Oryctolagus cuniculus: one gene and its partners. The protein of the gene in region 1 purifies or fractionates together with the protein of each later gene. This does not show direct contact. Links are inferred from orthologs where the notes say so. Each region holds a gene or a part of one and is shown on either strand. Other genes may lie near its edges. The genes, in order: CNOT1, TNKS1BP1, OBI1, CNOT10, TNRC6C, CNOT6 and TOB1.

The links.
Region 2: the proteins of CNOT1 (region 1) and TNKS1BP1 purify together in Homo sapiens (affinity purification with mass spectrometry; 5 studies listed by BioGRID and IntAct, with this or other methods). This does not show direct contact. The link is inferred for Oryctolagus cuniculus from reciprocal best matches to the Homo sapiens genes CNOT1 and TNKS1BP1.
Region 3: the proteins of CNOT1 (region 1) and OBI1 purify together in Homo sapiens (affinity purification with mass spectrometry; 3 studies listed by BioGRID and IntAct, with this or other methods). This does not show direct contact. The link is inferred for Oryctolagus cuniculus from reciprocal best matches to the Homo sapiens genes CNOT1 and OBI1.
Region 4: the proteins of CNOT1 (region 1) and CNOT10 purify together in Homo sapiens (affinity purification with mass spectrometry; 4 studies listed by BioGRID and IntAct, with this or other methods). This does not show direct contact. The link is inferred for Oryctolagus cuniculus from reciprocal best matches to the Homo sapiens genes CNOT1 and CNOT10.
Region 5: the proteins of CNOT1 (region 1) and TNRC6C purify together in Homo sapiens (co-immunoprecipitation; 4 studies listed by BioGRID and IntAct, with this or other methods). This does not show direct contact. The link is inferred for Oryctolagus cuniculus from reciprocal best matches to the Homo sapiens genes CNOT1 and TNRC6C.
Region 6: the proteins of CNOT1 (region 1) and CNOT6 purify together in Homo sapiens (affinity purification with mass spectrometry; 5 studies listed by BioGRID and IntAct, with this or other methods). This does not show direct contact. The link is inferred for Oryctolagus cuniculus from reciprocal best matches to the Homo sapiens genes CNOT1 and CNOT6.
Region 7: the proteins of CNOT1 (region 1) and TOB1 purify together in Homo sapiens (co-immunoprecipitation; 3 studies listed by BioGRID and IntAct, counting the BioPlex papers as one, with this or other methods). This does not show direct contact. The link is inferred for Oryctolagus cuniculus from reciprocal best matches to the Homo sapiens genes CNOT1 and TOB1.

What each region holds. Positions count from the first base shown.
Region 1 is NC_091449.1:41,830,809-41,834,308, forward strand, and holds part of CNOT1 (CCR4-NOT transcription complex subunit 1), read right to left. Parts: intron 2,690-3,500; coding exon 2,573-2,689; intron 2,244-2,572; coding exon 2,133-2,243; intron 1,851-2,132; coding exon 1,773-1,850; intron 1,588-1,772; coding exon 1,410-1,587; intron 734-1,409; coding exon 603-733; intron 1-602.
Region 2 is NC_091432.1:14,798,518-14,802,017, forward strand, and holds part of TNKS1BP1 (182 kDa tankyrase-1-binding protein), read left to right. Parts: intron 1-40; exon of another isoform or gene 41-43; 5' UTR 44-58; coding exon 59-152; intron 153-1,193; coding exon 1,194-1,827; intron 1,828-3,500.
Region 3 is NC_091440.1:33,579,099-33,583,319, forward strand, and holds the start of OBI1 (ORC ubiquitin ligase 1), read left to right. Parts: upstream 1-1,421; 5' UTR 1,422-1,510; coding exon 1,511-1,582; intron 1,583-4,221. UniProt on the Homo sapiens protein: E3 ubiquitin ligase essential for DNA replication origin activation during S phase.
Region 4 is NC_091435.1:169,316,735-169,321,020, reverse strand, and holds the start of CNOT10 (CCR4-NOT transcription complex subunit 10), read right to left. Parts: upstream 2,801-4,286; 5' UTR 2,781-2,800; coding exon 2,510-2,780; intron 1-2,509. UniProt on the Homo sapiens protein: Component of the CCR4-NOT complex which is one of the major cellular mRNA deadenylases and is linked to various cellular processes including bulk mRNA degradation, miRNA-mediated repression, translational repression during translational initiation and general transcription regulation.
Region 5 is NC_091448.1:3,394,959-3,399,258, forward strand, and holds the start of TNRC6C (trinucleotide repeat-containing gene 6C protein), read right to left. Parts: upstream 2,801-4,300; 5' UTR 2,551-2,800; coding exon 2,483-2,550; intron 1-2,482. UniProt on the Homo sapiens protein: Plays a role in RNA-mediated gene silencing by micro-RNAs (miRNAs). Required for miRNA-dependent translational repression of complementary mRNAs by argonaute family proteins.
Region 6 is NC_091437.1:66,985,930-66,989,429, reverse strand, and holds part of CNOT6 (CCR4-NOT transcription complex subunit 6), read left to right. Parts: intron 1-1,958; coding exon 1,959-2,161; intron 2,162-3,124; coding exon 3,125-3,337; 3' UTR 3,338-3,500. UniProt on the Homo sapiens protein: Poly(A) nuclease with 3'-5' RNase activity.
Region 7 is NC_091448.1:26,684,815-26,688,892, reverse strand, and holds the start of TOB1 (protein Tob1), read left to right. Parts: upstream 1-1,278; 5' UTR 1,279-1,742; intron 1,743-3,643; 5' UTR 3,644-3,796; coding exon 3,797-4,078. UniProt on the Homo sapiens protein: Anti-proliferative protein; the function is mediated by association with deadenylase subunits of the CCR4-NOT complex. Mediates CPEB3-accelerated mRNA deadenylation by binding to CPEB3 and recruiting CNOT7 which leads to target mRNA deadenylation and decay.

The DNA of each region.
Region 1 (3,500 bases):
ATTGATCTGCTTTTCAAATAAATAATCTTTCAAGAAAATCCTGTTGGTTGAAGGGGTGTGAAAGGCTAAAGATAACAAGCAATTCTGAATCTACAGAATAAATATTAGCTTCATGTTTAGGGAAAAGTACTTATGAGAGATTACTTTACATGACCTTAGATCAGATTCACTCCTGGTAACTGACCTCAACAACCTAACTGAAAGTACTAACTCATTCAAGACCCTAGTTGGGAAATTTTACAGACACACAAAAATCTGCTTAGTTGCAGTCATCTTCCAGGACAAATAGCTTAATACAAAGCTAATGTGACATGAAAATATAAATAAGAGCCAACATACACCATAAGTCTTTTGACCTATGTCAAGAAATCTCAAGAGATCAAAATTTTATCACCAGTTTAATTTATTTTCCCAGGTTTGGGTAAGAGGAACCAGTGACTAATTTCAAGGCATTTCTGACTATTTTTAAAAGAAATCAAAAATCCCAACTATACCACATAGCAGTTCCAGATCTATACTTTGACAAAGAGTCCAGAGAGAAGGCAAAGTGATGAAACAGCTCACAAACTAGAAACAAGGGGAAAGGAGCAGTGCTGACTTACCGTTGGATTCAGAGTAATGTGTGGTGACAAGCCTGCGAGGGAATACACATTGATGTCATGGTAGCTGTACTGTGGCTGTGGTGGAACTGTGGCTGTACAGGTAGTGCTGGTAGCTGGTGTAGTAGACGTTGCTAAATGTAAGTAATAAAATAAACAGAACATTTAAAAACACCTGCTGAAGCTACTAGACAATTATCTGAACAAGCCATTGTTATCTAATTAAGTAGATCAGATTGCTCTGAGGGAGGAGTCTTTCCCACTCTGAGAGATAAGTTTTGTTATTATAACAGACGTTTTCAAAGCACACAAAACTACATCACTAATAGTGCCCCAAAGCACAGAACTTAATTGAGGGATCCTGTCACAACAGCAGGCCCAAACCTTATAGGCTCAAGTCTATTTTTTACAGATGTCTATTTTCAACCTCACCTGCTTCTCTAGTTTACTTAGGATATCTTTGCTGCTAGGAGCAAACAAAAGCTGGTTCATTCTAGACATACATCCCAACCACTCAGCATCCCAAAACCTCACCCCTACACCTCCAATCCTTTTCATATATATAAAATATATCCATTTCATAAAGCCATCTAGTCTGGCAAACTCTAGGTTTGAAGGATAACACAGGCCATCATACTAGGCAATTAATTCTGAGACTTCACATAACTAACCGCTGTGACTAATATATGAGCAATGAGTGACTAAACCACAAATTACTGAAGAATGTGTGAACTGTCAAGACAGAATCTAGTAAGATTAAGTTAGTAAGAGAATATTCTGGTTACCAAAAGGCTAGACTATCATACTTACTTGTAGTTGTGATGGGAGGGAGTTCTTCTGGCTGCTTAACATCTTTCTTTGGAGCAGAGAGTTGTTCATCTAAGTTCTTTAGGCGATCTTTATCCTTTAGGAGGTTTCCAGGTTTTAGTTCATTGATATCTAATGCAAGGTTCTTGCAGAGGACCTCAATCTCAAACTTCAAGTTTAACTGCATCATAATTCCAATATTTGATTAGAATATTTAAAACAAAAATTTAGTTTTATTCATAACATATTCCACCCTCAACAACTGTTACCGTGCATATCCCCCCTACTCCAATCACTCTGCCTTCATTCTAAATGTTAATTCTGTGAAGGCAGACAATGTTCTAAAGGATAAAGAAATAAATTTACCTTTAAGTCATGTTCCTGATGTAGCTCAGCTAATACATTCATGATTGCCATTGTCCAGGGGTTTGGTGGCCTAAAAACCTGAAGTAAAAACCATTATGTTAAGTTGGCCCAGAGAGCACCCTTTAATTTGGGTATTTTAAAACATTTATACCCACACGGCTATAACAAATCCCCCAGATTTCCCATCTACTTCAGAAATTTCCCATCTGCTTCAGAAAAACTCAAAAGTCATCCATCAGCATCAGACCTCTAATTTCAACTCTAACTGCAAATGCAGAATGCACAAAACTAGGAATAAACTCCTGGGTTGAAATGATACAACTCATATTATCCATAAATGACATATTAAAATTTACTCACCACACTACGAATGCTGGACTCTAAGACTTTGGCAACAAAGGGCACTACATAGAGCAACTCTTGTTGTCCTTTAACGTAAGCCTCTAGCAGCAAAGATTTAACATCCAAATCCTAGAAAAAAAGAAGTACTTTCAAAAGCTGGGCATATACTACAAAACTCTCATAAAGTACCCATACAATGGGATCTCACTAAGCTCATCCCCAAAATAGAAAATCAACATAGTATCTGACCCTTGCCTTAGAAAAAGGAAGGGGTGACCATCACACGTTGCTGGCTTTTCTTTATCCTAAAAGATGTAGAACCATGAGCAAATATTAGGAAATCAAAATATGGGCCAAAATTTTACAAAAAAAAAATCATTAGAATAGCCCCAAAGTCAAGACTTTTAGACACATGCACATTATCAAACTTAACATAAAACTTTTAAGCTGAAACTCACAGTGTGTAAGATGGGTTTATTTTTAGCTAATGTGATCATTCCTAACCAATGTCCCAAGTTCTTCAACAAAGAACGATCTGAAAAATTGGCAGCAGCTTTATCTGAAGTCAGGAGCACCTGAAAGGGCAGAGAATTTAGATGTGAGAATTAGCTTATGGTAGAAAATTCGTAACCAAACACTTCAGACTCTGTTATCCAATAAAGCCCAAGCCACCATATTTTGGGGGTGAGGGTGTGGGAGGGGAAGACAGAAAGATCTTCCATCTGCTAGTTCACTCCCTAAATGGCTGCACCAGCTGGAGCTGAGGTGACCTGAAGACAGGAACCAGGAGCTTCTTCCACATCTCCCACATGGGCAAAGGGACCCAGGTACTTGGGCCATGAACCGCTGCTTTCCCAGGTGCATTAGCAGGGAGCTGGACTGGAAGTGGACCAGCCAAGACTGGAACTGAGCCCATATAGGATGCAAGAGCCACAGGCTGCAGCTTTACTAGCTATCCCACAGTGCCGGTGCCAAGCCACCACTTCTGAACATTAACAGTGACATTTTTATCTTTTGAAGCTTTTTATATTACAGAAATAATAAGCACAGATTGAAAACCCTAATCTGAAATACTCTAAAACTGGAAACTTTTTCAGTGTTGACATGATAACACAAGAGGAAACCTCCACACCTGAGTTGACATGACAGACAAGCTAAATATGAGCACACAAAAAATACTAAACAGATTACTTTCAGGCTACATTAGTATAGAGCACTTATCAAACAAAAATTGTGGGGCCAGCAAGTAAAGCTACATATGGGCACCAATTGTGTCCCAGCTGCTACACTTCTAATCAGGCTCCCTACTAATGGCCTGGGAAAACCAGCAAAAGTAGTGGTCCAAGTGTTTGGGCCTCTGCCACCCACGTGGAGACCCAGATGAAA
Region 2 (3,500 bases), on another chromosome or scaffold:
AGCCAGCGCCGCTCACGCGCTCTGCTTCCTATTTCTCAAGCAGGATCTGCCGCATGTGATGAAAGTGTCTACTCTCAGGGAAAGCACAGCCATGGCTTCCCCACCGCCCCGGGAGCCGGAGGAGGAGCTGCTGCCCGCTGGCTCCGAGCCAGGTACCCATGGGTGCAGGGTGGAGCCGGTGGCTGAGAGCAGGGTGGGAAGGGCGCAGGCTGCACCCCCATTCCATCCTGGGGGGTAGCTGAGTTGAAGTGTGTTGAGGTAGCTGCGAGGCAGGGCCGCAGTACTAGGAAGTGCGGGATAGGGTGGGAAGGCCCTCGGCCCGGCTCTAGCACCTCTAAGGGCAGACAGGACCCATGGGGGTGATGTGGGTCCAGCTGTGTGTTTTGCAGGTGGGGGCAGGGGCTGCGGCCGGGAGAGGGGACCCCTGAGACCCAGAGGGAGGCCTGGAGTGCACCCACCCAGGCTCCTGCCTCCATGTCTCTAGACTCTTAGCCAGCTGAGCGGGTGATCGAGGGTTCCACTAGAAGGGCTGTGACCCGGAGTGATTGCGATGCTGTTTATCTGGCATTGGAATGCCTTATATAGAAGGAAGATTTCTGGTCTTGGTTTTGAGTTTTTTTCCCCCGCTGTAGCAGATTTACTTTTGTTTGGCTTAGGTCAATAGTAAGTTTGCATTCCTTGGTCACACACCGGATGACAGTGGGGAGGTGGCCTGGGTGTGTGCTGGAGGCGGGGGTAGCTGGAAGGCAGGATGAAGAAACAGAGTTGGGGTGAGTTTACTGTGGGGGATGCAGCGGGGAGAGGGCTCCATGGGAAGACAGTGGGCGACTGGTGTGGCGGGAGATATTTGTTTATTGGCTCATTCATTCATGTGTTTGATTAGAGCATGTGCTGGGTACAAAGTAGGGTGCAAGGGGAAGTGAGGTGCCAGCAGGGCCCTTACATAGCTTTAGTTTAAAAGGGGAACTGGTGAAATAACTTTGGGAGTTTGGAGAAGGGAGAAGATGTTTCTGGAATGTGTGTGGAAAATCAAGGAAGCCTTCATGGAAGAGGTGGCATTTGACTTGTGCCTACACAGGCGTGAGCATTCTGAAATTGGAGGGTGGGAGATGAGGTGGAACAAGAAACACAAGAAGTTCTGCTTCTTGGTTCTTCTGACAGCCCCCCACACCCACTCCTCTTTCCTTTTGTAGGTGACCCTCGGGCCAAACCCCCTGTGAAGCCTAAACCCCGGGCTCTGCCTGCCAAGCCAGCCCTGCCTGCTAAGCCCAGCCTCCTGGTGCCTGTAGGGCCTCGTCCCCCCCGGGGTCCCCTGGCTGAGCTACCTTCTGCCCGGAAGATGAACATGTTGGCGGGACCCCAGCCCTATGGGGGCAGCAAGCGTCCCCTTCCCTTTGCACCGAGGCCTACGACCGAGACCTCTGTTGGAGGAGAAGCCACCCCAGAGCCTGGGAAAGAAGAGGCTGGGAAAGAGGAGCTGCCTCCTCTGACGCCCCCAGCTCGCTGTGCCGCCCCAGGGGGCGTGCGCAAGGCCCCTGCCCCCTTCCGTCCAGCCTCAGAGCGCTTTGCGGCCACCACGGTGGAAGAGATCCTGGCCAAGATGGAGCAGCCCCGGAAGGAGGTGCCTGCCAGCCCCGACCGCCTCTGGGGCTCCCGCCTCACCTTTAACCACGATGGTAGCTCACGGTATGGCCTCAGGACCTACGGTGTGGCTGCTGGTCCCAAGGAGGAAGACAGCAGGAGCCTGGCCAGAGATTGTCCCCAGGAGGGGTTGGCAAAGACTCCTGTAGAGTGCCAGGAAGAACACAGCAAGACCCCCGAGGAGAGGTGAGGCACGGGGTGGGGCGTCCTGCTATATATTTTGTTGTAGCTTGGAGGGCTCTGAGGGCCAAGGGCCAAGTGGGTGGCCCTGTTTGGGGCCATGACTTTCATCTTGAGGCTGGTTGTGTGCTGTGAATATGGACAGACCTGGTCTAAGTCACAAAGCCCTGCCTTGGTAGATGGCGTTGTCATTGCTGTGTGCTTTTGAAACAAACATTGTCATTCTCTTTACAGAACGGATGCATGTGTATCGCAGAGTGTTCGATCACACAGGATAGAAGTGTACTTTCTTTTTTGCTTGCTATTTTTTAAAATATTTATTTATTTTATTCGAAAGGTAGAGTTACAGAGATACAGAGAAGGAGAGAGATCTTCCATCTGCTAGTTCACTGCCCAAATGGCCGCAGTGGCTGGAGCGAGGCCAGACCGAAACCAGGAGCCAGGAGCTTCTTCTGGGTCTCCCACCTGGGTGCAGGGGCCCAAACTTTTGGGCCATTCTCTACTGCTTTCCCAGGCTCACTCATCAACAGGGAGCTGGATAGGAAGTGGAGCAGCCAGAACGTGAACCGTGGCTCATATGGGATGCTGGCACTGCAGGCGGCGGCTTCACCCACTATGCCGCAGTGCCGGCCCAGTTTACTTTCTATATACTGAGAACTGGGCAGCAAACCTTGCCTCCTTGAATCCTGTTTGGTGAAGGGAATGTTAGATCCATTTTAGAGATGGGGAGACAAAGGCTCAGTCCCTCAGCAAGTAAGAAGCAGAAAGGGGGTTTGCATTCAGGTCTGATTGCCAGGCCCCTCCTGTGTGCAGAGTGTCAGGTTTGGGGTGCAGGTGTGTGTGTGTGTGTGTGTGTGTGTATGTGTGTGTGTGGACCAGTGGGGCAGAGCCCCCTGAGGAGGGCTCTATGGAAGACAGAAGACAGGAGCACATGGTGATGCTGGCCCAGCTCTTTCCTGCACAGAGATGACACCTGGTTGGATACATTTGCATATTGCATATGATCCATTTCCCCTTTGCACTGGAGCAGAGGAAGACTGGCTAGGAGGTACCCCTGCGGGTGGGGGTGGGGGCACAGGTCGCTGGAGGAGGCTCAGGAATCTCAGGAGCGATCAGCTGCACAAGGCCCTCTGGGCAGGCAGAGTCAGCTGCAGGCTGGGCTGGGCCCAGGGACTCTTTTCTGCTTTGCATTGCTGTGAAGGCCAGGGCTACTGTGGTCTGGCTGTGTGGAAGCCGAAGGCCCCTGCCCTGCCCTGCCCTGCTGTCCAGCCCTGCCCATCTTTCACCTGGAGACGTAGACCAGGGCGCTGTGAGGTTGTCAGGCTGGGTTCTGCTCTCCCTTCTCTGCCCCTTCCTCTCTCCACGTGGAGCTTAAGAGGAACAACTTCAGCCTTGGAAAGCCTCTCCCCTACTTCCCCCCCAGCCTCCCTCCCACCCCCAATCTCCCAAGGAATATTGGCAGGACAGTTGGGACCAGCTGCAGTCTCCTGGGCTAGAGGAGAACTTTAACCCTTCCGGGGTAAAGGAAGGAGGCTTTATCTTCTGGGTATATGGGACGCTTTTCCTGCAGGAGCTGGGCGGTTTAACCTGTTAGGTGCAGGTTGGGGATTAGCGCTGTCCCCTGGGATGCTTGCTGAGTGGAAGCTGGACAGTCTTCCCGCCCCTCGCCCCTTGCCCGC
Region 3 (4,221 bases), on another chromosome or scaffold:
ACACTGGTCCCTACCTACTCCTTCAGACTTGACAGTAAGCATATGTTGACCTCATGTGATACAAACACAAACACACGCACACATACACACACACAATGAAGAAACTAATACTGAGAAACGTTAGATAAGTTGCTTGAGGCCATAGATCTAGGAAGTTGTTGAGGCTTTGCTTTCCACAGCAGCAGTCCTGTTCCACTCTTGGCTTCTTGAGATCACACTGCTTCTTTGTCAGAAAGATTGTAATAGTTGTTACATTGGTCTTGCTTCTACATCTCCCAACTCACAGATTATATTTGTTTGCATAAGTTATCACATCAGTTCTTCCTCACTTAAAGTGAGATACAGCTAAATCTCAAATCTCTTGCATGAGATTCATTTAGATTTTTGCTTTTTCGTGGTTTAGGAAATGCTAATTTATAACTTCACGAATTCTCCTTTTGGAGTTCACCAACACAGCGGTACATTTCCTATCCAATCATGCACTTGAAACGAAGGCATTAAAAAGCATTGTGCAGACTGCCACACTTGGCCTAGTGGTGAAGACACTCAGGATCTTACCGCAGGGCCTGGGTTCAAGGGCTCCACCTCATGATTCCCGCTTCCTGCTAACACAGACCAGTGGAGGCAGCAGGTGATGATTCAAGTGGACTTGTCCCTGGCACCCACGTGGGAGGACTGGTTTGCCTTCCCTGCCCCTTTGCAGGCACTTGGGTAATAAACCAGTGAATAGCAGCTCACTTTGTCTTAAATAAATAAGTAGGTAAATAAATAAATAATAATCGCATTTGTGATTGTGCAAGCTGCTAGCCAGCACTATTGGCAGAATTCTGAGCTGGAACACTATAATCCTTAAATTTTCTTGAAGTGGATTCCACAGAAAGGCCAAAAGTGAGAGTCCTCAAGGAAAGCTGCGATTAAACACAACTAGATTGCTCCCGCAATACCCTAAGATAAGGAGACAATCACCGTTTTTCCAGTGAATTATCGCGTCCTCTGAAGCACACCCTGTGGTTTGAGGGAAAGCCAGCTGAGAAAGGTGGAAAGTTGTTTTGAGAAATCAAAATGTAAAGTTAAGTGTCTTCGCGTCTTCACTGTATTGTGTGGTTGTTGTGTGGAATTTTATCTTGAGGGAGAAAACTACCTCACATCCAACCTTCCGGGGTAAAACATCTTAGCGCTTAAAGTCGTCTTCCCGCGTCGTTCTCCCCTCACGACACTATTACGCTTTTCCTTAAATTTTCAGGATCGTCGATGCCTGGAGCAAACCATCTTCCTGTCCATTTTCAGGAACCCTACAGCTTCCTAGTGAGAGAAAGCAGTTTAGTTTAGTTTTAGCTTAACTAAAACGAAAAGCCCGAGCGACGGCGCATTTCCAAAGCGCGTTTTAGTTTCCTCTCCCTGGCGGACTGTGGCCCTGCCCGGCCGCCGTAGCCGGCCTCTCGCGTCCCCAGTCGTGGCGAGGAGCCGCTGTCGGCGGGACTTCCGTGTTGGCGGGATTCTGAACGCTGCCATGGCTCAGACCGTGCAGAACGTTACATTGTCGCTCACTCTGCCCATCACATGCCACATATGCTTGGGGAAGGTAATGGGTGTTTCCAGGCACAGCTACGAAACGGGGTTGGGGATGAAGCTGCTCGCTAGAGCCGAGGGCGGACTCCATGCGGGGCTGGGAAGGAAGGGGCGTGAGGCGCCGAGACCAGAGAGGACGCTAGCCCGCGTTCTCCTAGGCGAGGGGGTCCGCAACCTGGGCGACGGAGGGGGCGCGCCGTGACGAAGGGGTTCATCTGGGCGCCTTTGGGAGGAGGATGACAGCGGCCCGGGTTCTACGGGGAGGCCGGCGAGGCGGCCCTCACGGGCCGACGCCTGCCGCGGAGGAGGCCCGGTCAGAAACGCATCGCAGTCACATTTTAGCCCTGTGCAACCTCGTGCGGTGCGTGGCCCTGAAGCACATTTTCTAGGTACCCCGCCTAAGATTCCTTAGCGCTCTGTGCAACCAAAGTACCTGTTCTCCGGCCTGCTGTGCTAATTGGGGAACCTTTTCTTATCCCGGCCTTGAGTTTGGCCTCTGCTCTGGGTTCAGAATTTTGGAAGCAAATAGTACGTGTCCCTGGAAGGTATTTAGAAACGAGGGATCAATCACGAGATAGAAACCCTCTCTTTGTGATGCGAAGGTGCCTAATGTGTGGAACAAGGTGGAGAAAGTAGTTCCGAATTAGAAACGGAGTTGTGAGTGTTCTGATGCGTCCCTTAGGTTTCCTCTCTTTCGTTTAAATTTGTGCCTCCCGTTCAGTTTTTTTAAAGAGCGTTTCTTGACCGTATAGATCAAGAAGGGAGCAGATACTGTGCACAATCAGGTTTTTGCCAGACAGAATTGTTTTTAAGTTTTTGGTGTATGTTCACCCCCAGGTGCAGACTGAGACTGCTGCTTCAGGCTTAGAATTGAGAAATGCATACTTAATATAGCAAGCTTTTTGAGTCAGCCAGAATCATCATCTATCTGCCTTAGGTGGCTGAGGGTCTGTGGGAACTGGGAGGAAGTCAAGATGGGAAGCAACCGTTAACTCTTGATACCAGTCAGAAAGAAATGCTAACGAAATAGCCAATGTCTGCGAGAGCGGCTAGGCGTCAGCTTGATCCTTCGGACTGGAGAGATCAAGGATGGCCTCCTCAGGAGTGGTATTTGAGCTGGCATTTGCTACCATGCCTGCATGCATGGGTGGGAGCAGGAGAAGTGATGTTTCTATTTGCTACAATCCTGCACAATTGGCTCCTGACGTAAGGACCCCAAAAGTATATGATAAATTCTGAATTTCCACAAACCCTGGCATTAAATTAAGCTGATAAAAATATTCTTCTGAGATATCTTAGTTGTATATAGTATATATACTTTCCATTAGTTTATAGTCTGTCTTTTGCAATTATGTTGGAAATGTGTTCTGCCTGTTTTACTTATCAAGCCTGTGTTTTTTGTAGTTAACAAAAGTGCTGCCTAATAAAATACAGGTAGAGCATCAAAATCTGAAATCCAAGATGTCCCAAAGCCCAAAACTCTGAGTCCTGACACAAGCCACAAGTAGAAGGTTCCACATCTGACCTCATCTGATGGGTCATAGTCAAAATATAGTTGCACTAAAAATATTGTATAAAATTACTTCAAGTTATGTGGATAAGGTATATAAGAAACATAAACGAATTTTGTGCTTAGGCTTGTATCCCATCCCTATGGTATATGCAGATACTCCAAAGTCTGGGGGAAAAAAATCCAGAATTTGAAGTATCTGCTCCCAGCATTTCAGATAAGATATAAATCTTTTCTAGTGCTTTGCATATTACAAAATGCTTTTGTGTGTAGTTATGTTGTTTATTTCTCACACCAATACTATGAGACAGTACCAGTTTTCTCATTCATGCAATAGAGCAACTAAAGCTTAGAGATACTGGTGATCAAACTTCTGTTATTATCATTAATGTCTTCAGTAGAATACTTTCTGAAACACTCACCTGGGTTCATCCATGACAGTAGTCATGTTTAGTATCTTTTCCCTCCATGCTTAGTTTTGTTTAGGTAGCTTTATTCTAAAATCAAATCAGATAAAATTGAAAAGATTGACAGTTTGTAAACAGACTTTTTCTGCCTGCTGTGGAAGTAGAATGGTGTGTTGGCCGAATTGTACATTCAGACTACTTTGGGTTCCACTCTAGTTTCTACCACATACTAGTTATATGACCTTATACAAGTTACTTAACCTCTCTGAACCTCAGTTTCCTTATCTGTAAAGTGGCAATGACAGTAGTATCAATTCCCGTGGCTGAATTTGGGGCAGGATTAAATGAAGCATATACAATGCTTAGCAATAAAGTCTGGCACGTAATAGTATCCAATAACTGTTAGTTCTTACTGTGAGCACCGAAGCAGGCCCTTCGACTGGATTAAAAAAAAAAAAATCCTTTTCTAGTAACTGTTCTTGTACCCAGTTGCTTTGTGAGTCTAGTGCACTTATAAATGAAAGTTCACATTCTCAACTAAGGATCTATTGGTTTTGGAAATTGTCATAGTATATCCATGGTTTTTAGCTAGTTCCATATTTCTTTTGCCTTTTGTATGGTTAAAGCAAATCCAATCTGCTGTGCTACTTGGTTTTCCACACATATCATATTTGTCATGTACTAGAAATGGCCTATCCCTGATATGAATTCCATCTATATGATATAAAGCATCTG
Region 4 (4,286 bases), on another chromosome or scaffold:
CCAGCGGGGGTTCCCAGCCTTCCTCTTTCAAGAGCCAGTATGGTGTAAGGAAACGGGCACACGCCTTGGAACCTGTCACTCAGTCGGTACAGTCTATTCTTGGCCTGTCTTTAGCTGGAAACGCTAAATAACCACCAGCTCCCTTTCCCTCTGCCTCTGCCAGGACAACTAAGGCTTCCTATGGTTATTTTTTTAAATACACTTATGTCTGTACTTTAAACACACAAAGTGGGGGCCGGCGTTGTGCTTTGCTGCCTGCAACACCAGCACCCGTAAAGGCGTTAGTTCAGGTCCCGGCTGTTCTACTTCCGATCCAGCTTCCTTCTAACGTGCCTGGGAAAAGCAGCGGAGAATGGCTGAAGTGTTGGGGTCCCTGAACCCATGTGGGAGACCCAGAAGAAGGTCCTGGCTCCTGGCTTTGGACTGGCCCAGCTCTGGCTGGTGCGGCCATTTGGGCAGTGAACCAATGGAGGGAAGGTCTTTCTCTCTCCATCTTTCTCTTTGTAACTGACTTTTAAATAAATAAATAAATCTTTAACCACACAAATTGACAATGAAGTTAATTTAGTGTAACTTGATTACAGACCGCCTTAGATTACTGTGAAATGTCTACACCCTTCTCAAATCACATTTATACTAACAATAATCTGCTTTTGAGAACCTATCAATCTAAGAACTTATCTGCCCTATAAGAAGGGCATTCTGTGAAATGTTACTTCTTTCTTTTTTAGAAAAGATTATTTGAAAGGCTGAGTTAGGGAGGGAGAGAAGAAGGGGGAGGGGAGGAGGAGAGAGCAAGAGAGCAAGATCTTCCATTGCTGGTTCACTCTCCAAATGGCCACAAAAGGGTAGCTTTTCCAGGTGCATGGGGTGGGGGGGAGCAGGATCAAAAGTGGGGCAGCCAGTACTCAAACCTACACTCATGTGGGATACTAGTGCTGTAAGTGGCTGCTTGACCAGTTCTGGCACAACACCAGTCCCAGAAATGTTAATTCTGATAAAGTTAGCAGATAAATCAGTGTTCATGGGGCCTGCACTGCGGAGCAATGGGTTTAAGCTTCCGCCAGCGATGCCAGCATCCTAAATGAGCAGCAGTTTCAAGACCTGTCTGCTGTATTTCCAATCCAATTCACTGCTAACGTGCTGGGAAAGGCAGCGGGTGACGGCCTGAGAGTTGGAATCCTGCAACCCACATGGGAGACCTGGATGGAGTTCCAGGCTCCTTGGCCATTTGGGCAGTGAACCAGCAGATGGAACATCTCTTTCTCTTTCTGTAACTCTTTCAGATAAATACATTAACTGAAAAAAAAAAAAAAAAAAAAAGGCAAGGTATAAGTTTTAGATCGAAGCAAAATCTCCCATTCCACAAATACTCACCATAAAATTTTAAACAACGAATTTAAAAATATTTCTTAGGGGTCAGCGTAGCTGTGGCGTAGCGGGTAAAGTTGCCACCTGCAGTGCCGGCATCCCAAATGGGCACAGGTTCGAGTCCCAGCTGTTCCAATTTGAATCCAGCTCTCTGCTGTGGCCTGGGAAAACAGTAGAAGATGGCCCAGGTCCTTGGGACCCTGCACCCATTTGGGAGACCCAGAAGAAGCTCCCGGCTCCCGGCTTTGGATTGGCGCAGCTCCAGGTGTTGCAGCCATCTGGGGAGTGAACCAGCGGATGCAAAACCTCTCTTTCCCTCTGCCTCTAGTTCTCTCTCTGTGTAATTCTGATTTTCAAGTAAATAAATAATTTTTTTTTATTTTTGACAGGCAGAGTGGACAGTGAGAGAGAGAGAGAGTCTTCCTTTTGCCGTTGGTTCACCCTCCAACAGCCACCGCAGCCAGCACGCTGCGGCCACCAGCACTTTGCTGATCCGAAGGCAGGAGCCAGGTGCTTCTCCTGGTCTCCCGTGGGGTGCAGGGCCCAAGCACTTGGGCCATCCTCCACTGCACTCCCTGGCCACAGCAGAGAGCTGGCCTGGAAGAGGGGCAACCGGGACAGAATCTGGCGCCCCAACCGGGACTAGAACCTGGTGTGCTGGCGCCACAGGCAGAGGATTAGCCTAGTGAGCCATGGCGCCGGCCTAAATAACTAAATCTTAAAAAAAAAAAATATTTCTTTGAGAGGCAGAGAGAGCTCTCATCCACTGGCTCACAACCAAAATGTTCACAACGCCCAGGGCTGGGCCAGGCTGAAGCCAGGAGCTGGGATCTCAACCCGGGTCTCCCATTTGGGCAGCAGGAATCCACGCACTTGAGCCAGCATCTGCTACTCCCAGAGTGTGCCTCAGCAGGAAGCTGGGTCAGCAGCAGCCGGGACGTGAACCCAGGCACTCCAGTGAGGGATGTGGGCTTCCGGGTGGCATCCCAACCACCACGCTAAACAGCCACCCAAGATAAAAATTATGTTTGCTTATCTATGCTTCTCAAGTTTTTTTTTTTTTTAAGAGTATTCATTTTTGTAGTCAGTTTTAGAATGTTTTTTCAATGTCCATTATTTGTAACTGCTCACTTCTTACCAGACAGAGACTGCACATAATTCCACAGCGTGTCTTTATCTGTCCAAAAGTAGTCTCCATTGCCAATGGACAGAGTATACGACCGCTCATCCATAAGCTTGACCTTCCTTCTGCTCTGGCCTAAGGAGCACGGCTGACCTTCTAGGCGAACAGAGCTCTTTGACCCACAAGCCTTGACATTCTTTAAGCCAACGGACTTCATTTCTAACCAAATAATTGCTTTTTGGTTTGAACTAAGTAGAAAAGATATGTACTGCTTTTTCAAAACCATAAAAAGTCAGTTAACGGAAAGAACAGACACATTCCAGCACAGAATGTTAACCACTCAAATCTGATTGGAGGATGACTACTAGCTATAGCTCCAATGATGTTCAAGAAAAGAAAGACGTTTCCAAAGAAATGAGGAAACTGAAAGGCCTGAGGAGGATGCCTGGCCTCACGGTTGAGACTCCCATGTCTCACACGGAGCATCTAGCTTTGATCCCCAGCTCCTGAGTCCAGCTTCCTGTCCTGGGAGGCCGCAGCCACAGCTCAGTGACTGGGAACTGCCACCCAAATGGGAGATGTGGATTGAGTTTCTGACTCCAAGTTTTGGCTACAGCCCAGTACTGGCTCTTGTGGACATCTGGGAAGAGAACCAGCACATGGGAGCTCTCTTTCTAGAAAAAAAGAAAAAGGTTACCACTTCAAAAAATAAAAAATAAAAAAAATCAATTCAGGTTCACTAAAGTCACCATATAGCTAAGGTTAAGACACTTCAAATGTGGTTTCTATCATCTAAACAAGTATTTCTGACTTAACAAAACCCCACATATACTAATTTCAAAGCCAGTATTGGGGCCGGTGCTGTGGCGTAGCGGGTAAAGCCGCCACTTGCAGTGCCAGCATCCTATATGGGCACCGGTTTGTATCCCAGCTGCTCCACTTCCGATCCAGCTCTCTGCTGTGACCTGGGAAAGCAGTGGAGGATGGCCCAAGTCCTTGGGCCCCTGCACCCGCATGGGAGACCCGGAGGAAGTTCCTGGCTCCTGGCTTCAGATTGGTGCAGCTCTGGCCATTGCGGCCATTTGGGAAGTGAACCAGCAGATGGAGGGCCTCTCTCTCTCTCTCGGCCTCTCCTGCTTTGTATAACTCTGACTTTAAAATAAATAAATGAGTAAATCCTTAAAAAAAAAAAAAGCCAGCCTTGTGGTGTAGCAGGTTAAGCTCCTGCCTGCGATGCCGGCATCCCCTGCGGGCACCAGTTCCACACCTGGCTGCTCTGGCTCCATCCAATTCAGCTCCCTCCTGATGTGCCTGAGAAAACAGGGGAGAGTGGCAGTGCCTGTCACCCACATGGGAGACCCCGATGAGGCTCCTGGCTCCTGGCTTCAGCCTGGCCCAGCACTGGCTGTCATGGCCATTTGAGGAGTGAACCAGGAGATGGAAGCGCTCTCTCTTTTTTGGGTTCTCCCTCCCTCCCTCTCTCTCTCTAACTCTGATTCCAATAAGTAAATCATTTTTTATAAAGAAACTATAAAAAAGGACTAATTTCTACAAAGCTCCGAGAAGTAAAACACGACCAGTGAAGCCACGTTCTACAGTACAAGCAGTCACTAAAGCAGGTCCCCTCTACTTGAAGTTGGACAGAAGAGCTGGAGAACTGGCCCAGAGGATAAGCCAGTCATACCAGCAGCAGTGCCACAAACCGTAGCATCCTGCCAGTCACAGACCTCGAGTAACTAGGGTCAGCACGCTTGGAAGACAGGCAAAGCAGAACACTGCCACTGACAATGAG
Region 5 (4,300 bases), on another chromosome or scaffold:
GGTTCCTGCCACCCAGGGGAGATCCAGGTGGAGCTCCTGGCTCTGGCTTGCCAGCCCTGGCTGTTGTGGGTGTTTGGGGAGTGAACCAGCAGATGGTTGACTCTTTGCCTATCACCTTGCCTTTCAAATAAATAAATCAATCTTTTTAAAAAAATGTACATATTAGAGTAATAAGCTGATAAAGCACTCAAATGTTGACCTAAATAGAAAAAAATTTGACAAATTATATTGTTGCAGGAAAAACACACAGATACTAAGAGGTTTGTTGATATGTCTCATAAAAATGTGAAATATGAAAACTCTTATTTCAGCATTGAGGAAGAAAACTTATCTGAAAAATACAAATTATAGAAAAATTTTATTTTCAAACCTATACCAAGTTTAGATTGCAAAAAAAGAAAAAAAAAGTCCCGACAGAAATCCTGGAGGAACTACTTGATTAGAGAAAAGTGTCCTGTTATGCTGTTATGGGCTGCACTGTTATGACACAATTAGGCTCAGGAGCTAGCCCCTCCCTCAGCAATCAGGAACAGCACACCAACCGCTGGGCCGCGGAACCCCCCCCCCCATCCCGCCCCTTTAGAGTCACAAACTGCCCTTTCTACTTTTTAAGCTACTTCCCGCCTTTTAACAACTTGTTTTTTAAAAAAAAATTATTTATTTATTTTAAAGTCAGAGTTACACAGAGAGAGAAGAGGCAGAGAGAGAGAGACAGAGACAGAGAGAGAGACAGAGGGGTCTTCCAATTCACTGGTTCACTCCCCAGTTGGCCACAATGGCTGGAGCTGCGCTGATCCAAAGCCAGGAGCTTCTTCCGGGTCTCCCACGCAGGTGCAGGGGCCCAAGAACTTGCACCATCTTCCACTGCTTTCCCAGGCCACAGCAGAGAGCTGGATGGGAAGTGGAGCAGCCGGGACTCGAACCGGCACCATATGGGATGCTGGCACTGCAGGCGGCGGCTTTACCCGCTACGCCACAGCACCGGCCCCTTTGAACAACTGTAATACTCACAGTGTGTAGGCTGTATGTACTGCATGCCCCATGTCCAGGCACCAATTTCAAAAAGCAAATGTTTCCTAAGACTGTCATAAAGTACATCCTGCTAACTGCCATCATTTTGATTGATTTGTTTTCTAAATTTTTATTTGTTTTCATTTTATTTAAAGGCAGAGAGAGAGAGAGAGAGAGATCAGTTGATCGACTTTCCATCTCTGGCTTACTCCTCCGATGGTGGCAACAGCAGGGCTGGGCCAGGCTGAAGCCAGCAGCCATGAACCCCATCTGTGTCTGCCACGTGGGGGCAGGGGCCCAAGTGCTTGCGCCCTCACTGCTGCCTCCCAGGGCGCATCAGCCGGGAGCCGGGTGGGAACGAGAGGAGCCGGGGCTTGACCCAGGCTCTCCAAGCAGCAGCTTAGCCACTACGCCACAATGCCTACCCTGATTTCTTACAATATTACACCTAGAGTTTACCTCTCCCAAGACTTGAGCAGAATCAGGTCTAGTAACGGGTTCATACGTGTAGGGCACTGACTTACAATCTGCCCTATCGGGGAAGCAACTAGCAGTTTACCAGATCACCCTCACGACAGCCTCCGTCCTCAGAGCGGCGGATGCACAGGCGACGCGCTCTTGCCCAGACAGCGACGCTGAGGCCCTCAAATCTGCAGTGGCGGCTTTACTAGACGCGCTCTCGCAGCCTCCTGCGAGTCAAAAAGCCCGATGGGAAAACTCAGCAGTTCTCTGGACAGCCAGAGACAGTCCAAGTGTGAAGGTTTCTGATGGTCTTGCTTAATCCAAAGACAAAACTTAGACAATCAAAGAATCCTCCATAAATACCAAGTTCCAGTGGAAACACACACAAGCAAGCAGCCAGCATCGAGTTACGCAGTCTCTGGAAAACCCAAGGGCAGCAAGAACTGTAACTTACTAGGCACTGGGCTGTGCAGATCATTGAGATCCATGATCTCAGTCACTCCTCAAAGCAACCTTGTTGGAATGGACACCACCTGAGCCTTCAAGGCCACATGTGCTCACACAGTGACTGAACTGTCAGTCAAATGTCACTCACCGCATCCGCCATACTGCACAGCACCCCCAAAGAGTGCATGCTCTTGGGGCCGGGGCTGTGGCACCAGCATCCCATATGGCTGCTCCGCCTTCAATCCAGCTCCCTAGTGGCTTGGAAGAGCAGAAGATGGCCCAAGTGCTTGGACCCTGTACCTGCGTGGGAGACCGGGAAGGAGCTCCTGGCTCCTGGCTTTGCATTGGCCCAGCTCCAGTTGTTGCAGCCATTTGGGGAGTGAACCAGCGGATGGAAGACCTCTCTGTCTCTCCCTCTGTAACTCTGCTTCTCAAATAAACAAATACATATTTTAAAAAGCCTTTAAATTTCTTTTACATTTTACTTTTATTTATTTGAAAGGGAGGGAGGGAGGGAGGGAGTAGGATGGGGGGAGACAGACAGATACAAGAGCGCTCCTACCTGCTGGCTCCCTCCCCGAATGCCTGTAAGGGCCAGGGCTGGGCTGGAGCTGGGCATCTAACACTCATTCCAGGTCTCTCACATGAGTGGCAGGAACCCAACGACCTGAGCCGTCATCTGCTCCTCGAAGGGTGTGCGTCAGCAGCAAGACAGAAGCGGGGCAGAGCTGGGGCTCGAGTCCAGACACTCGGATGGAACGAGTACATCTCAGCTGGTGGCTTAAGCGCCCTCCCGCCGGCCGCCCTCCCGCCTCTCCAGTCCACGGCTGGAAGGTCTGCAGGTTCTTCCTCACGCCCACGGCCCCACACAGGGAGGCTGGGAGGTCTGCAAGGTCTTCCCTCACCCACGGCCCCACACAGGGAGGCTGGGAGGTCTGCAGGGTCTTCCCTCACCCACGGCCCCACACAGGGAGGCTGGGAGGTCTGCAGGGTCTCCCTCACACCCACGGCCCCACACAGGGAGGCTGGGAGGTCTGCAGGGTCTCCCTCACACCCACGGCCCCACACAGGGAGGCTGGGAGGTCTGCAGGGTCTCCCTCACACCCACGGCCCCACACAGGGAGGCTGGGAGGTCTGCAGGGTCTTCCCTCACACCCACGGCCCCACACAGGGAGGCTGGGAGGTCTGCAGGGTCTCCCTCACACCCACGGCCCCACACAGGGAGGCTGGGAGGTCTGCAGGGTCTCCCTCACACCCACGGCCCCACACAGGGAGGCTGGGAGGTCTGCAGGGTCTCCCTCACACCCACGGCCCCACACAGGGAGGCTGGGAGGTCTGCAGGGTCTCCCTCACACCCACGGCCCCACACAGGGATCTGGGAGGTCTGCAGGGTCTTCCCTCACCCACGGCCCCACACAGGGAGGCTGGGAGAGGGCTCCAGATGCACTCAGTGAAGCTTCTTCCCGCAGGAAGATGAGGATGCGTTCTGGGGCTAATGGCGACTCTGGGCCGGGGCACCGGCCCGCTTCTGCAGACGTCCCCAATACAGGGTGACTCTTCTGAAACAAAGCGATGCGTATACACACACATCTGAGCTTGTGTGTTAGGTGACCGAATGATACATAAGCTTGGACTCCACGGAGCATGACCAGAAGCACTTGGGTAGGGCTTCTCAAAGGAGAAGGCGGCACCAACTGCCTACGCAGCCGCAGAAGGACCTCCATTCCTGCAGGACGACGGCGCGGCACAGCTACACAGCGGCCCTTCCAGGTGGACCTGCTACAAAGCACTGCATTCTACCCAACCTAAGACGCCTCAGACAGACGACGCACAGTGCTTCTGTGCATCACTAAGAAAGAAATGCTGCCGATCACGCCCTGCTATACGCATCCCACTGGATGTAAGGCAAACAGCAATTCTGGAGATGTAAAACGTGCGAAATGTGTTTCAGGCCACAGCAGAGAGCTGGACTGGAAGAGGAGCAGCCTAGATTAGAATCCGGCACCCATATGGGATGCCAGCACCGCAGGTGGAGGATTAACCAAGTGAGCCATGGCACCGGCCCCTGAAATAATTATTTTTATAAAATTTAATATTCAGGGCTGGCGCTATGGTGTCATGGGCTAATCTTCCCCCTGCAGCACCGGCATCCTATATGGGCACCAGTGGAGTCCGGCTGCTCCTCTTCCAATCCAGCTCTCTGCTATGGCCTGGGAAAGCAGTGGAGGATGGCCCAAGTCCTTGGGCCCCTGCACCCACGTGGGAGACCTGGAAGAAGCTTCAAGCATTGAAGTCTCAGAATTCTGCCACCACCAGTTTCCTTTCATCACCTCAAAAGTTTTCTCCCGATTGTCCTCACCCTTCTGGATGAAATGAGTCA
Region 6 (3,500 bases), on another chromosome or scaffold:
GCGGCTACCGCGCTGCGCCAATCCGAAACCAGGAGCCAGGTGCTTCCTCCTGGTCTCCCATGTGGATGCAGGGCCCAAGCACTTGGGCCATCCTCCACTGCACTCCCGGGCCACAGCAGAGAGCTGGACTGGAAGAGGAACAATGGGGACAGAATCCGGCGCCCCAACTGGGACTAGAACCCGGTGTGCCGGCGCCGCAGGCAGAGGATTAGGCAAATGAGCTGCAGCGCCGGCCAGAAAATACAGTGTTTTGATAGCAACCATGAGAAATATATTTGATTTTTGCTAACTAATTATTAAAATTAAAATATTTTCATATGGGGCAGACATTTGGCCTGGTGGTAAAATGAGGCTTAGAACTCAATAAATAAAGACCCACATCCCATGTTGGAGTGCCTGTTTCATCCATGCACTAGCTTCCTGTTAGTATTTACCCTAGGAGATAGCAGATGATGCTCAGGCTTTTGGGTCCATGCTACCCCATGGGAAGCCTGGATGGCTCCTGGTCCAGCCCCAGCTGTTGGCGGTCTGTGAACATTTGGGAAAGTGAACCAGTAGATAGAAGATACCTCTCTTTCTCACTCTTCCGCTCAAAATACAATGAAAATTTAAACCGGTAAAGCTGCCGCCTGCTGCACCAGCATCCCATATGGGCACTGGTTCAAGTCCCAGCTGTTGCTCTTCTGATCCAACTCCCTGCTAATGAGCCTGGGAAAGCAGTAGAAGATGGTCCAGTGGCTTGGGCCTCTGCACCCATGTATGTGGAAGACCCAGAAGAAGCTCCTGGCTTTGGACTGGCCTTGCTCTGGCTATTGCAGCCATTTGGGGAATGAATCAGTGGATGATGTGTCTCTCCCTCCCTCTCTGTAACTCTGCCTTTCAAGTAAATAAATAAATAAATTTTTAAGCCTATTTTATGCACATAATATCAGGCCCTGTTTTTTATTTTTTAAACCTTTTATTTGAAAGGCAAAGAAATGGAGACACACAGAGGTATTTCATTGGCTGGTTTACCCTTAAATGTCAGTAACAGCTAGGGCTGGGCCAGGCTGAAGCCAAGAACCTGGAACTCATTCTATGATTCCCATGTGGGTTTAAGAGACACAAGTACTTCAGCCATTCCTGCTGCCTTCCAGAGTGCAGATTAGCAGGAAGCTGGAATTGGAAGTGGAACCAGAACTCAAACCCAGGCACTCTTAAATGGGTGCAGGCATCTCAAGTGGTGGCTGAATTGCTGAGCCAAATGCCCATCCCTAACTGCATTCTCTTCCAGAGTTCTAGTGTTGAGCCATATACCAAGTAAATAATTTAGTATAAATAGACACCTGTGTACTAAGACGACAATTGTGGTGATAACTTTTAATTCGTTTAAAGTGAAAACAACCTGAATTTTCAAAAATAAGGAACTAGTTTAGCAGGCACTGTACCTTATTATGTAGCCATTAAAGAAAAATAATAGGAAAGTGTACCTGCTCATGTGATACAGTTTTAAATGAAAAAAAAAAAAATATATATATAAAATATTCAGTGTACTAAAACAAGTTTAGACAGAGTCTGGCAAAGTTTTTAAAAGAAAACTTGTAGGGGCCAGCCCTGTGGTATGGTAGGTTAAGGGCACCGCTGTCCCACATGGGCGCTGGTTCGTGTCCAGCTGCTCCTCTTCTGATATAGAGATGGCCCAAGTGCTTGTGCCCCTGCACCCACATGGGAGACCCAGAAGAAGCTCCTGGCTCCTGGCTTCGGCCTGGCCTAGCTCCAGCCATTGTGGCCGTATGGATATAAGACCTCTTTCTCTGTCTTTCCCTCTGTCTGTAACACTGCCTCTCAATAAATCTAAAGAAAAAGAGAAACATTATAGAAAGTGGGAATATTTATACTATTGCATGATCTTTTAAATTGCATCTTGTGCCCTGTATATTGTACTTGATAATGAAAAAGTATATTTCTTTTTATTTTAGGTGTTGTAGAATATTTGAGCACTGGTGGAGTAGAAACAAATCATAAAGACTTTAAGGAACTGAGATACAATGAAAGTCTTACAAACTTCAGCTGTAATGGGAAGAATGGAACAACCAACGGAAGGATCACTCACGGTTTCAAGTTAAAGAGTGCCTATGAGAGTGGCCTGATGCCTTACACGAATTACACATTTGATTTCAAGGTGTGTCCTGAGATTGGCAAGCTTATAAAACCTCAGCTAACCAGCAAGCCCTCTAACTTCTGGATGTCTTTAAAATGGGGGTATGGGAGTGGGCATTTAGCTTAGCAGTTACGATGATGTGTCGCACATAAGAGCAACTGGGTTCTAGTCCAAGCTCCTAACTTTGATCCTGCTAATGCAAACCCTTGAAAGCAGTGGTGATGGCGCAGGTAGTTGATTTCTTGCTACTCATGTGGGATACCTGGATTGAATTCCTTGCTTTGGCACTGGCTAGTATAAGCATTTGGGAAGTGAACCAATAAAATAGGAGTAAACAGGGGGCTCTGTCTCTGCTTCTCAAAAAATAAAACAGTGGATATATGTTCAGACTGGAATTAAACAATCTTAAATTTGTCGACAGCAATATTCTTCTGTTAGTCTTCTGTAGAATACCTTACTAGCAGTTGGATATGCTGTACAGTGTTATCTAATTTAGTATCATTTGGGGTGAGGTGTTGCTTCTATTATATTTTAATTTAACCAAAACTGTACTCCTTTGAAAGATAGCATATGGTTTCTTTAGCTATTCAGAGATTTTTATTGTTTTAATATTTAATTTACTTCAAAAGGAGAGGGAAAGAGACATACAAGAGAGAGAAGACCCTTGGTTTACTTTCCAAATGCCTGTAACAGTGGGGCTGGGCTCTCCTCTCCCTCTCTGTCCCCCTTTCCCTCTCTCTCTTTTAGCTCTGTCTTTCAAATATATAAATCTTAAAAAAAATTCAGATGGGAAGAAGAATGCTTTGTTTTGTTGCATTTGACCTTTGAAGGGATCATTCCATTTGTATAGTACTAGTAAGTTTCTTTTTACTTTTCTTTTTATTAACCCAACCTAACATAATGGTAAGGCTGTGTCTTTGAAAACATTAAGTATTTTGGTATTAATCCTATGTGGGGCTTTGTCTTTTTCTTGTTGTTTTTCAGGGTATAATTGACTACATCTTCTATTCTAAACCTCAGCTGAACACGTTAGGCATCCTGGGACCTTTGGACCACCATTGGTTAGCTGAGAATAATATCAGCGGCTGCCCACACCCTCTCATCCCCTCTGACCACTTCTCACTTTTTGCACAACTGGAGCTCTTACTGCCTTTCCTGCCCCAAGTTAATGGCATTCACCTTCCTGGCAGGAGGTAGTCAAGTACCTTCAGAGGACAACCTCAGTTTTACTTGTAAACTCGTGAAAATCTGATGATGGGAGTGAGGTATGGCCACTAGGGATTGTTTTGGTTTTTTTCTTAATGATGATTTGAAATTTCAATCTGATTACTTTGTAAGGATTTAGTATGAAAGCCAGGTG
Region 7 (4,078 bases), on another chromosome or scaffold:
GGACACAGAAAGCGGGTTCGTGCCCGCGCAGCGCAGCGGGTCTACGCCGCGCACCGCCTTCCGCGAGCCCCGCTCTTCCGCGGGCGAAGGCCGGCGGCAGCGGCGGTGTTCCGGGAAGCGCGCCCGGGCGCAGGGCGCAGGGCGCAGGGCGCTCCATTCACGGCCCCGAGGCCCGCTCCCGCCCTCGCTCCCCCTGGACCTTCTCTCCGCTCCAGCGGGTCCGACTCTGACGTCCGTCTCCTGGATACCAGGCGGCCAATCGCCTGCTCCTCAGGGGCCGCGCGTGGCCAATCAGGCGTCGTTGCTACCTGTGAGTAATATTTTTAGCTGCGAGGGACGCCCCACGGCTCCCAGTGTAGCTCGGTGTGTTTCTCCGCGGCCGGTTCTGACAAGCCGCTTGCCCGTCCCCCGTGGGTCCCTCTCTCGCCCCGCTCCCTAGGTTTCCGCACCTACGTCCACCGAAAACCCTCCGGAACGCGCCGTGTTTATTCCGTGCACCTGTGTTAACGCCCTTGCCATGCACAAACGCACACGCACACAGATACATACGCAGCTTGGCACGGCGGCGCCACCCCCCAGCCACCGAGGGGCCCTGGGAGTGACATGTGCTCCTTCTTACGGCCTCGGGCCACCCCCAGCTCCGAGCCGCTGCGGGTCGCCCGGGGAGGCCTGACGCGGGACGGCGGAGGCGGTTAAACTGTCACCTGGGCGGAAGGTGCGGCGAGCTGGCCTCCCGTCCCCACCCCCAGCCCGGCGGCTTTGGGTTCTGCAGTTGCCACTCTGCCGGTGGCAGTTGGCCTAGGCCCTGAGGTGATTAATATTCAATTAACCGAGCGCACGAGCCCCAGTCCCAGTCTAGACTCCCTCGGCGTGGGCCAGAGGTCGACTTGGTAGCTCATCCACCAGAGGGATTTTCCTCGGTCACAGTCCCGCTCGGGCCTGTGCGCATTTTCTGCACCCGACCCCTCGCTCTCGAGGTCCCGGGCCGTCCGCCCCGTTCCCCCTGCCGCTTTGCCACCTGCTTCGCTCCCCTCCCCCTGCCTCCTGGCGCTCTCGGCTGCGTCCGAGCGTCAGCAGCCCTGCCCCACCCCTTTCTACCCTCTCTGACACGTCTCTCCTCCAATCCCCGTCTAAGTTTCCTCTTGGTCCCGCCCACAGCCCCTCCAGACTGTCGGCTCATTGGCCATTCTGGTGCCCGAGGAGGTGTGGCCTTCCCCCACCCGGGCCGTTCGCCGCCCGACGGGACATGGGCAGGCGGGACTTGGCCAATGGCGTCGAGGGGTAGGGCCGGGGTGGAGCGAGCCGGCGAGAGTCCGGGGTGCTGGACGGGGAGGGCGGGGAATGGTTACGCCGCCCCGAAGCTGTGTGACGCGGGCGGGCGCGCGCACCCCCACGGAGGGGATTGGGGGCAGGGAGAAGAATATAAAACGAGAGGCGGGGCGCGCGCCGCGGCAGAAGGAGCGAAGCTCTGGCCCGGCGTGGAGTGGGCGCTCTACGGGGACGCTGGGCCGGGGCACCGGGCTGTGTGGAGAAGTGAGCGCGCTCGCCTGACCCCCGTCCCCGCCACCCCGAGCCAGAAGCCGCGAGCTCCTGAGGCCCGCCCGAGGCCTGCGTCCTCCGTCCGGCGGCGGCGGCGACGACGTCTTGCATTCGGTCGACTCGCCGCTCCCGCGCCCCCGCCCTGCCGCCCCTTCTGCCCTCCCGGCCGCCAGCCTGTGGTGGACGCAACCCCGCAGCAGCCCGTAAGTATCGGCGAGGCGGCGGGCGGCAGGGAGACGGGAGCCCAGACCGGGGCGCCGAAGGAGGGGCTGCAGCGTCGTCGAGCCCCGGGCCCTCGGGGTGGGGTGGGGGTGGGGGGCTCGGGGACGGCGGCTTCGCGGCCGTGGGCGCGGACGGACAGCTCCCGGGACCCGACGGGAGCGGCTCCGGACGCCCGGCCCCGAGGCGTCGGGCTCGGCGGGGGCCCGGCGGGTGACCGGGAAGGGAGGCCCGGGGCGAGCCGCCGGAATCGGGGGTTGGGGCTCCCGGGAGGGGCGGCGAGCTCGCGGGCAACGCTGGGGTGCGAGGGGCCGGTGGCCGCTGAGGCCGAAAATGGTGCCGGGGAGCCGGTGCTCCCCGGGCCCTGGCCGGGTCCCAGGAGCCTCGGGCGGGGGGCGGGGGCGGGGAGAGGCGGGTCAGGTTACGGCGGGGGGAGGGGAGCGGCTGACCGGCGGCGCCGGACCTGCCCGGTGCCCGGTGCCCGGCCGCGGGAGCTGGCCTTTCCCCTTCCCGTGGCCTTCGTCGTCGTTGTCCCCTTCCTCCTCCTCCTCCTCCTCCCCGGGAGCTCGTACTCTTCCTCCTCCTCCACCTCCTCCTGCTGTAGCTGCCGCCGTAGCGCTTGGGCTCCGGGCGCTGTGAGCAGAAATCTAATGAGAACTGGCTGTTTATGTAATTCTCCACACTCCCGTGTTCAGGCGCCGCCTGAAAACTACCTTCCGCCCAGCCCGAATGCGCTCGGCGGCACCTTCCAGCCATCGAGCCTCATCGGCCGCCTCTGCCCGCACTCGGGCGTGGGGCTCGGAAAGTGTGGGTCGTTCGGGCGCAGCCGGGGGCTCCCTTCCCTTTGTCGCCGCGAGCAGGGGAAAAACGGAAGCGGGGCTGCCAGGTCGGTCTTTGCACGACCTTTCCCATCCATCTCCCTGTACACACAGGTCTCCTTTGCAAATATCTTGTGTTTGCCCTTGATCTTTCCTTATCCCCACCCAGTGCTGACCCAGCAAGCGTGTAAAGGTCGACCTTATCATACGTGCCTCATGGCTGTTCTCTTATCCTGAGAGGCTGGGAGGTGCTTTTCAAAATCAGAATAAAACTCCAGCCCTGCCCTTTAAGCAGAATCATCGGTGTTCGGAAATTCATTTGTCGCTCCCGTGCGGTGCCAGAGAAGCACTTGCTTTGCTCTCGCTGTCCAGGAGGTGTTTCCAGAGGTAGAGAGGGACGCACCGCCAGGCCCGGGGTCGTGTGCCTGCCTTAGTATAGTTAGTCCCCGCGTCCACGCAGGTGATTTAGTGCGTGCTTATCGTTGACTAGGATGACAGATTCATTCGGCCTATAGTCCCTTTAATTTTAGCATCATGTACTTTGAAATGAGTTTTCCTGGCTTCTCAAATTTCCACATGTTTACCGATGGTGCAGATTAAACAGTCTATAACCAGATAGAACTGAGATAGGATTCACTTCCAAGTCGGTGGATAGCGCTAACAATTAACGATCAACTTCTACCAGTGGCATATGTGTGGGGGCTGGGGGTGAGTGAGTGGGAATGCGGAATTGAATTTCCAGTAAATATTTTTGTGAGAATTTGGAGGAAGGGGAAGGAAAAAAAAAGGTATTCTGTAGATACTTTTCTTAGAACTCTACTCAGTAAATGATTCTTTTGAAGACTGTTTATTTCAACTATAAATTTACATCTCCCCGAGATTTTGAGCCTTAAGAAACAATTTTCTATTGCATGTTGATTTCGTGTGGGTTGTGTTTTTCAGGCTGTCTAGCCTATGAGGCATTTTTAAAAAGTGAAATTGCGGGGGGAATAGAGTGAAGGTCATGGGATTTGACGCTGCACGTCTCTTACTTGGACATATCTGCTTTTGTTTTGTTTTCTGTAAAGGACGAGAGCGCCGAAGGTGAAGGATAATCTTCTAAAACCAGCACTTTGAATGAAAATTTGTTTCTCTGCCACACACTGAACGCCTTTTTTTTTTTTTTTTTTTTTTTTTTTGTGGGAGAGTTGAAACAAACCTAATTTTGTGGCATAGCAGCTATGCAGCTTGAAATCCAAGTAGCACTCAATTTTATTATTTCATATTTGTACAATAAGCTTCCCAGGAGACGTGTCAACATTTTTGGTGAAGAGCTTGAAAGACTTCTTAAGAAGAAATATGAAGGGCACTGGTATCCTGAAAAGCCATACAGAGGATCAGGGTTTAGATGTATACACATAGGGGAGAAAGTGGACCCAGTGATTGAACAAGCGTCCAAAGAGAGTGGTCTGGACATCGATGATGTGCGTGGCAATCTGCCACAGGACCTTAGTGTTTGGATC